Macaca fascicularis: one gene and its partner. Each later gene encodes a partner of the first gene's protein in a complex. Links are inferred from orthologs where the notes say so. Each region holds a gene or a part of one and is shown on either strand. Other genes may lie near its edges.

Region 1 (4,346 bases):
GTGTGAGTGTGTACGAGCGTGTGGCTGCGTGTGCGTGTGGATGTGGCGCGCGTCCCAACCTGCCTGGGGCGGTGGTCCGCGGCGTGGCAGAGGCAGGGCGGGCCTCGCGAGGCCGCGCGCGCGGCCCGGCCCCGATCTCCGCTCTCTGGCCTCCGGCCCCCCGCTGGGGAGCCGGTCGCTGCTTCCCGACGGATTTTGATCTTTGTTCTTCCAGGCCGGCTCCCCGTTCGTGGTCTCCCTTCTCCCGCTGGGCCGGTTTATCGGGAGGAGATTATCTTCCAGGTTAGTTTTACACAAAGGACGGGTTCTCTGCACCTCTGGGCCCCCTTCCCCTTCCCCGAGCCTTCTACCTTCTCATTTCCCTGCTCCGCTCCTAGGCTGTTTTTGGACGTTTGCCCTCTCCAGCCCGGGAATGATCTCGAGTTGGCTGTTTCTCCCTCTGTCCGTCGGGCTGCAGGCTTCCGCCTCAGTCCTGCCAGCGTGGGGCATGTGGTGTCGGTAAATAGAGGCCACAGCACCACACCTGAGCGGAGGAGAAGGGTGGCAGAGGCTGAGAAAGGCTGGGCCTGGGAATTCAGGATGCTGAGTAGAGATGGTACTTAGGACATGTCCCAGAAAGCGCCCTTGTGACTTTTCTTAGCTGCTGCCATTCCCCACCCCCCAACCAGCCATCAGCAGTCACCAACCATTCCAGAATCTCTCCTGCTTAAGTCAGCCTTTCACCTACAGGTCTCTGATGTGGTTTCATTATGATTCCCACAAATGTTAGGCTAGACCAGCCAGATTGTTTCATTTCCCGGACTCAGGAAGTTGCAGAGGGTTTGATGAGGGGAAATCTGTTTTGTGTAAATACAATGCACGTATGTGCACAGAGCGTCCAGAACCTCCCGGCCCTGCCAGAGGGTGACTTGTTCCCTGCTGTGATTCATACTCGAGTGGCTAATTGAAGAAAGAAGGTGAAGTGGAGGAAGGGAGGGAGGCTTTATAAGGACAGAAACTCTACTATTATTTTTAGAGTCCTTTTAATGATGTTGAAAGAACATTGTGGCATAGTGGAACATGCCCTTGACTTGAAGTTAGCAGTATCAGCATTGCTGCTGTGTGGCCCTGGATAAGTTATTTCCTCTCTCTGGTCCTCATTTTACTCATTTACAAAACAAAGTATTAATAATTGGCACGATCACCTATAAAATCCTCTCTAGTTCCAAGGTTCTGTGATGATCAGATCACCAGCATTAGATTGGAAGCATAGAGGCTTATTTAAGAGGAAATACTAGCCCTTTTCCTTATTTGAGAACCTTTAATCATATCTTCTTGTAGAGAACAAACACGAATTGGAAATAAACTTTTCCCCACTTCCCCGTCCCCACCCCTTCAGTCAGTTTTCAACTTTCTGTCTCTGGGAAAGGAGGGTTGAACTGTATTTTTTTTATTCTTGCCTCATTTTTTTTCTTTTTCTGCTTTTTCTTAGGGCTGGCAATTGGACTTTTGATGATGTTTGACCCAGCGGCAGGAATAGCAGGCAACGCGATTTCAAAGCTGGGCTCAGCCTCTGTGTCTTCTCTTGTGTAATCGCAAAACCCATTTTGGAGCAGGAATTCCAATCATGTCTGTGATGGTGGTGAGAAAGAAGGTGACACGGAAATGGGAGAAACTCCCAGGCAGGAACACCTTTTGCTGTGATGGCCGGGTCATGATGGCCCGGCAAAAGGGCATTTTCTACCTGACCCTTTTCCTCATCCTGGGGACATGTACACTCTTCTTCGCCTTTGAGTGAGTTTTGGTTGAGTAGAGTTGCCTGATTATGGTTACTTTGGGTCTAGGGGGAGAACCCGCTTTCTGGGGAGTTTGGGGCTGGTCCTTGGATGACTTTAACATCCTCTTGAGCAATGTCTGTAGATGATGCCAGCTGAATTCATTGCTTCATGGTCATCACAGAGTATGTGCTTCCCCAAAAGACCAATACCTTTGATACCAATTTTGTAGTACTGGTTTGGGGCTATCCTTGATAGACTTGGGAAATAAGGAAGTTTGTCTTAATTACTCACCTCTCCCTTTTAGTGGTCTCCTTAGAAGCTGAATGACAGATGGCCTCCCCTGCACACAAACCTAAGGGCACCCCTCATTGTTACATCACTCAGCAATCCTCACCTATTTTGTTATTCTGGGCCCTGTTTCCTTAAGGCTCAGCTCTCAGCTAGCTGTTACGGTGAAAAGCCGACTGAATTGGGAACCTACGGATTAGTTCCAGCCTCAGCTGGACCACATACTAGTTGTGTGCGTGGCACATACGTGCTTATTAGAAGTGAGTTGCTCTTTCTTTCCCTCAAAATCACTGAATGTAAACAACTCTATATTCTGTGTATGCCTGGTACCAGCCTTGGAGTGATTTTTTTCTGTGGTGTAATACCTTGTACTCGAGCCACTGTTTGAAGTCTGTGTAGGTCTCGTCTCTAGGGGAGGTGGCCGGTTGGATTCTAGGGCACTGTGGCGTGTCTCCTGGGTGTGCTGAGAATGCTCTACACTCTAGGGATGGGAGCAGTGCTAATTGTTTTGGGATTACTGTGAGGAGGCCTTTGAGAGCCAAGAGGTGTGTGTGTGGACTGTAAGCCACACCTGACGTGAGCCTGCTATGGTGTATGTACATGGGTGACCTGGAAATGGAGGCCTCATGCTGGGGTGTGGCCATGGGAGATAGGAGGGGGCACCTTGGCCAGCCTAGTGGGGAAGTAAAGTGAGCTCTGGTCCCTTGGGGCTCATTTTTTTGTCCTTCTGTGAGGGCTTCAGGCTTTCCCAATGCACCCAGAGTGATTTTCGGGCTGCTTTGCCAGACTTTTGGATGGTTGCAGCTGGCTTGAGTAACAGCAGGGGGAGGAGGGGGACCCAGTATATAACGGGGCTGGGAAAGTAAGGTCAGAGGAACTCTTTGTTAAAGGTCTTTTTGCTGCTGCTGCCGCTACTGCTGACTTTGTGAAGTGTTTAGCGAAGTCAGGCAGGTTGCTGAAGGCTTCTTACTTGCTTTCCAGTTTGAGTTTCCTGACTGAGGGTGTGTGCGTGCATGTGTGCATGCACGTGCTTGTGTGTGGTACCAGTGAGCATGTGTAGTCAGGCAGGCATAAGTTCCTAGTATTAAAAATCGTTTTTCCTTCCCCTCACCCTTCTCTCCAAGTTTTCCTTGCCTCATTCCTGCCCTGCTTCTTCTTGGAAGTGAATAGCTGACCTCTGTTCTTTATCATTCTTACTCCCTTTTTCTCTTTGTGTCCCCACCCCCACCCCCATGGTTAAATTTTTATTATTGCAACCATTCCAAACAGAGATGAGCCTTGTTCCCAGGCTTTGAGTTAGTTGGTAGTTCTGGGCCCAGGAAACCTCTGGTTTGACTGGCCAGGGGTACTTGAAATTTGGAGCTATTGCCATTTGTCCCCTTTTGTATCTGGGAGCCAGCAGAAGAATCTTATTGGAATCTGTTCCACTGAGGCCCCTGCAGGCCTCTGAAGAAAACCGCTGGTGGGATGAAGCTTCTAATTAGCCATGTTGCTGTTTGACAGAGCCAGGTTGAGTTTTCCACCATGATGACTTCCCCCTCCCCCCAGGTTGTTTCTTGCATTTTGAAGGGTGAGGTTATTTGTAAAACTTCCTTGAGTACCAGCTGTGTGTGTGAAAGACTAAATATTTTTGAAGATAGGGCTGGAGGAGGGAGTAGTGGGAAGAAGAGGGGAGAAGGAAGTAAATGTGTTAGCAGAGGAGTAGAGTGGGGAGGTGGAAATGTGACCAAAGAGGAGAGGACCCTGGTGATGAATACTTTGTACTGAGAATGGCGGAATTTGTGTTTGTGAATGTGCGTGCTTGTGTATGTGTGTGTGTCTGTCATATATAAACACATAGACACTTTAGGTGGTGGCTGCGTTGTGCCTAGCCAGTGACAGGTGGTACAAGGTACACCAGCATGCCTCTGAGGAATGAAGTCTCCTTCTGGTGGGCCTTTTTCTTTGGCGTCTATAAATTCCTGTCCACCACATAGTGGGGGCACGGTTTGGGGAGCAGAATGTGGGCTGCTTTGTTAGTATTAGAACTTAGCGCAGTGGCTCATGCCTGTAATCCCAGCACTTGGGGAGGCCGAGGCAGGCAGATCACTTGAGGTCAGGAGTTTGAGACCAGCCTGGCCAAATGGTGAAACCCCCATCTCTACTAAAAATACAAAAATTAGCCCCGTGTGGATGTTGTGCGCCTGTAGTCCCAGCTACTCAGAAGGCTGAGGCAGGAGGATCCCTTGAACCTGGGAGGTGGAGGCTGCAGTGAGCGGAGATCTTAGCCTGGGTGACAGAGGGAGACTCTGTCTCAAAAAA
Region 2 (4,586 bases), on another chromosome or scaffold:
CATTAGTCATGGAAAAACGAAAATTATGACTGCAGGAGATATCACTACACAAGTGTTGGCAAAGATGTGGAGCAACTGGAACTCTGGTGGGAATATAAAATGGTGACACCGCTTTGGAAAACAGTTTGTCAGTTTGCCAAAAAGTTAAACGTGTTTTCACCGTACAATCTAGCCATTCTAATCCTAGGTACGTACCCAAGAGAAATGAAAGCATTAAGGTCTACACATCTATACAAACCCTTGTAAATAAACATCCATAGCAGCTTTATTTGTAACATACCAAAACTGGAAGCAACCCAAAATGTCCATCAACAGAAGAATGGATAAACAAACTGTGGGATGGCCATAGAATTGAATAGCTATCCAGCATCAAAAAGAAATGAATTATTGATAACACAACAACAGATGGACTTCGAAATAGTCTATGTGAAAGAAGCCAGGCAAAAAAGGGGGTACACACTATATGATTCAATTTATATAAATTTCAAGGAAATGAAACTAATGTATAGTGACAGAAGGTGGATCAGTGCCTGGGAAATGGGGTCTGGGGAGAGGCAGGAGGGAGGAATTACACAGGAGCTGGAGGAACCTTTTCAGGGCAATGGAGCTTTACTATCTTGATTGTGACAATGGTTTATGGGTGTATTCATATGTCCAAAGTTATCAAATCCACTGCTTTAAATATGTGTGGTTTATTGTATGCCATTTATATCTCGAAAAAGCTGTTTTTAAAACACAATGGGAGAATTTTTCATATTTAAAAGGCAGGATATTTAAACTGTATTAAATATATAAGACATGGTACTGAAAGGTTGTATTAGCAGGAGACAAGGTAAGGTGGGGTTTCTTTGGCTGCCTTGCAAAGAGATGCTGAGTAAAGTAGGGGCCAGTGGGCAACGAGGGCAGAACTGCTTGTCTGTCCCCTTGGGTCACCTGAGGGGCATGGGTGGCGGCTGGGTGGAAATGAGGGTGAGAGGAAAGCCGCCGTCGAGGGGCGTGGATGGGAGCTGGGTGGAAACGTGGGGTGAGAGGAAAGCCGCCCCCAAAGAAGGGTCGGGAAGGGGCGGGGACGGCCAACGCTGGGGCCCACGCAGGTTCTTCGTCCTCACTTCCTGACCCTTTCTTACGAGTCTAGGGACCAAACGGATCCATCCCCAGAGCCCTTCTACTTCTGAACACGATGAGCAGTTTATGTTTGAGGGTTTGGGGATGGGGTGTTGTTTTTTCTTTATGTTTTGTTTTTCGTTTTACGTATGAGTTGGGTGGCACAACCCACACGTAAGTTGCAACGTCCAATCAAGAACGAAAATAACCCCTCACAATCAGCGATCGGGAACCAGCTGCCACAAGTGACACAGCCAGGAAACTTCGTCCCTCACACCCCCGCGCGCTCGCGCCTGCCGCAGCCCCACAGCTCGCCCCGCCTCTCTCCTTCCGGAAACAATCTCCGAGGGCGGAAGGCGGGGTCGGCCCTGGCCCCGCCCACAGCGTTTCCCTTCCTCGGCCCAGCCCCGCAGCGCGCAGCCTCGGCAGGGTGGCTTTACGGCCAGAGGAGAGGGTGGGTCCCAGACTTGAGGTAGGAGGCCGAGCTGAGGGGCGGGGAAGAGGCTTTTTGCGGCAGGACGTAAGTGACGGCGAAGGCGGTGCGACAGCAGCTGGAGGGCAGAGGAGGCGGGTTTGTTTCCCGGGCCGAACCGGGTTGTTGGGGGGCGCGGGGCCTGGGCCAGGCGGCAGCTAAGGCCCGCGGTGACAGCATGGGTGAAGGGGAGCGGGGCAGAGGAGGCCTTGGGCTGTTTTGGGCGGCGAGTGGGGGCGAGGGACTGGCGGGTCGGAGTCCCGGGTCCAGGCCGGGGCTCTGACCCGCGGTTGGTGTTCCCCCGACCCCGCAGCGCGGGGTGTCCAGTCCTCGCCATGAGGCCGCAGCAGGCGCCGGTGTCCGGAAAGGTGTTCATTCAGCGAGACTACAGCAGTGGCACACGCTGCCAGTTCCAGACCAAGTTCCCTGCGGAGCTGGAGAACCGGGTACGCAACCTGGCTCCCCACGCCTGCTCTGGCGAGGGAGAGAGACTCACCGGGGACGGGAGGGGTGTGGGCGACAACCGGGCCGTTGAGGATCCAGCAGTTCTGGGGAGGGCCAGGCACAGAAGGGGCCTTGGCCAAAGGTGTAAGAAGAGAGCCACTAAGCAAGACAGGTGTTTGGAGGAGCAAGAATAATATACGCCGATCGCCGGGGTTGACGACCTTATGGAACTTTGTTGCCCGGTGCCGGGAATCTGGATCCAGCAGTCTTCCCCTGCTGCACTCCCTCAAATCCCCACCCCGGGTAATTGTCGGCAGCGTTGAGGAGCCAATTCCTGAGGCTCCAGGCCACCTCAGCCACCAGGTTTTAAGCTATATCTTCCTACCTCTCCGCGCAAGATAAATCATCATCATTCTCATAACTGGTGTTTGCTGCCTCTGTGCTGGCCGCACTGTTTGACTGAAAGGGTTTATTAGGTGCATTGCCAGGCGGTGCATTTAGGCTTTCTTGGAACCTTAAAGACGTAGAGCGTTAGATAGGCCTGGACAGGAAAATATCTCAGAACAAGGCCTTAAACTTATCACATTCACTGGGAGCCACGTGTTTTGTCTTGCATATCAAAATTGCCATCAGGATGTAGGTCCTTTGGGTAACATTGCATGCAAAAATGTAAGAATGGAATTTGCTTCTCCTTCAGACTTAGCAAACGTTTTTTTAAAAAACCATTGTATCTTGTAGAGGTAATGGAGTATGTGCGTGCCTGCCTGTGTTTTTGTGTGCCCACATATGTACACTCAACCAAAGATTCTTTTGGTCTTGACCCATGTCATGTAGATTGTGTTTCCTGTTCAGGGATCAATTTCTGGTTAGCTGGAAGCAGGTTTTGTGGCTCCCTCCTCTGTGACAGGGAGGGCGAGGGCCTGAGAGGTGATTAGGCATTCGTTGGGTGTGGAACTGAGGGATGCTGGTCATGGGATAAGTAGGTGTGGATGAGTCTGTGTAGAGAAATGTGTAGCAGTTATTTACAGACAGTTTACAGTGAGGTGGGTTGCACTGCCTGATTGCCATGGTTGGGAAATCAACAATGATCCATTATAGTTTCCTTCAGTTTGACATAACCATGGGCAGGTTAGTGGCCCAAATATGTTTCTTGAATTGCAAATTGATCAAATATGCCTTTAAAAGATGGTGAGGTGACTTGTTTCTGAAATGCCATTTAAATGCTGCAGTATCTTGTCAACTATGTTATGAGTTAACTCAGCGTGACAGTAGGTGGAACTATCTACAGTGGTTAGAAGAGCTAGAAATTCAGCAAGTGGCCAGTTGGTTAGAGCTACTGAATGTTGTTTTAAAATAATTTAACATCACAGCTGATGTGTTTTACATGTTAAGATTTACATGGAATCAGGCTGGGCGCGGTGGCTCACGCCTGTAATCCCAGCACTCTGGGAGGCCGTGGCGGGTGCATCACTTGAGGTGGGGAATTCAAGACCAGCTTGGCCAACATGGTGAAACCCAATCTCTACTAAAAATACAAAAATTAGTCAGGTGTGGTGGCGGGCACCTGTAATCCCAGCTACTCAGGAGGCTGAAGTCGAAGAATTTCTGGAACCTGGGAGGCGGAGGTTGTAGTGAGCCGAGATCATGCCATTGTACTCCAGCCTGGGCGACAGAGCAAGACTCTGTCTCAAAAAATAAATAAAATAAAAAGATTTACATGGAATCAATCAAATGTTTTATTTTTAAGCCTCTCATGGAGATTATGACATACAATTTTATGTACTTCAAAATCAGAATATAAAGTATTCTTTTTTTACCGCCATTATTTGGACATTAAAGATTCATTTGCTTTAAGGTTTTAAAGCAACACTTACACCTCATATTTGAGCAAATGTGTGTACGCAGAATCAGACATTAGCCTTCCACTCTGTGTGTGGCAGAGCCTTTATTTTGTAACCTAAGTACAAAAGCACAATGTAGTTACAGTGCTCCACTGATTCTTCTCAGGAAATTGATGTTTCTAAATTCTGGAGTCCTTTTACCTCTTTGACTCTGTGTAGCCCAGAACTGCCTGTGGTACTGAGTACTATATGGAATGTTACATGGCACTATTCAATTGTGCCTGTGAATTTCTTTTTTCTTTTTAAATGTTTGGGTTAAAACACTAGCTTATGCTTTAAACCACTAGAAAAGCTTTGATTGTGTGTGTATGGGTCTGTGTGTGTGTGTGTGTGTGTTGAGATTAAATTTAAATTACAGGTTTAAACTTTCCTTGCTTTGATGAAAAATTGAAAGGTTTCTGTTTCTCTACTACTTACCCTAGAAATTTTACTGATTGCTCTGCTGTTGGAGCTGATTTTCTTTTTGTGAGAACATCACACTTGGCAACGTAATAGAGAAAGAGACTAATATGCAAGTGTTCTGTGTTATTTTAAAGCATTTTTTAAAAAATACATACACATTTGTGCCCTTTAATTTGGGAGTAGGATAGGTTCTGTCTGTTAACAAGTTCATTTTCTCTGCTGGCTTTTAGAATGTACTACTTTGATGCTTAAGCGATTTGTTG

Evidence for each region.
Region 2: the proteins of ZDHHC9 (region 1) and GOLGA7 are in contact, whole or in part, in a cryo-EM structure (PDB 8HF3), measured with the Homo sapiens proteins. The link is inferred for Macaca fascicularis from reciprocal best matches to the Homo sapiens genes ZDHHC9 and GOLGA7. Residues at the interface, in NP_001008223.1 of Homo sapiens: Phe78, Ala81, Arg85, Ile94, Pro95, Leu98, Asp100, Glu101, Phe104, Ile105, Phe129, Gln130, Ile131, Asn132, Ile146, Pro149, Pro150, Arg182, Tyr183, Leu186, Tyr274, Lys281, Cys284, Glu285, Leu287, Cys288, Gly289, Pro290, Leu291, Pro292; in NP_001002296.1 of Homo sapiens: Lys11, Phe13, Gln15, Tyr18, Ser19, Ser20, Gly21, Thr22, Ala57, Glu58, Leu60, Ser64, Tyr65, Gly68, Cys72, Ala75, Tyr76, Thr77, Phe79, Leu80, Tyr86, Glu87, Leu90, Ile116, Arg118, Gly119, Arg121, Val122.

What each region holds. Positions count from the first base shown.
Region 1 is NC_088395.1:136,113,108-136,117,453, reverse strand, and holds the start of ZDHHC9 (palmitoyltransferase ZDHHC9), read left to right. Parts: upstream 1-1,520; 5' UTR 1,521-1,606; coding exon 1,607-1,773; intron 1,774-4,346. UniProt on the Homo sapiens protein: Palmitoyltransferase that catalyzes the addition of palmitate onto various protein substrates, such as ADRB2, GSDMD, HRAS, NRAS and CGAS. The ZDHHC9-GOLGA7 complex is a palmitoyltransferase specific for HRAS and NRAS.
Region 2 is NC_088382.1:44,991,240-44,995,825, forward strand, and holds the start of GOLGA7 (golgin subfamily A member 7), read left to right. Parts: upstream 1-1,567; 5' UTR 1,568-1,624; intron 1,625-1,636; exon of another isoform or gene 1,637-1,889; 5' UTR 1,890-1,911; coding exon 1,912-2,022; intron 2,023-4,586. UniProt on the Homo sapiens protein: May be involved in protein transport from Golgi to cell surface. The ZDHHC9-GOLGA7 complex is a palmitoyltransferase specific for HRAS and NRAS.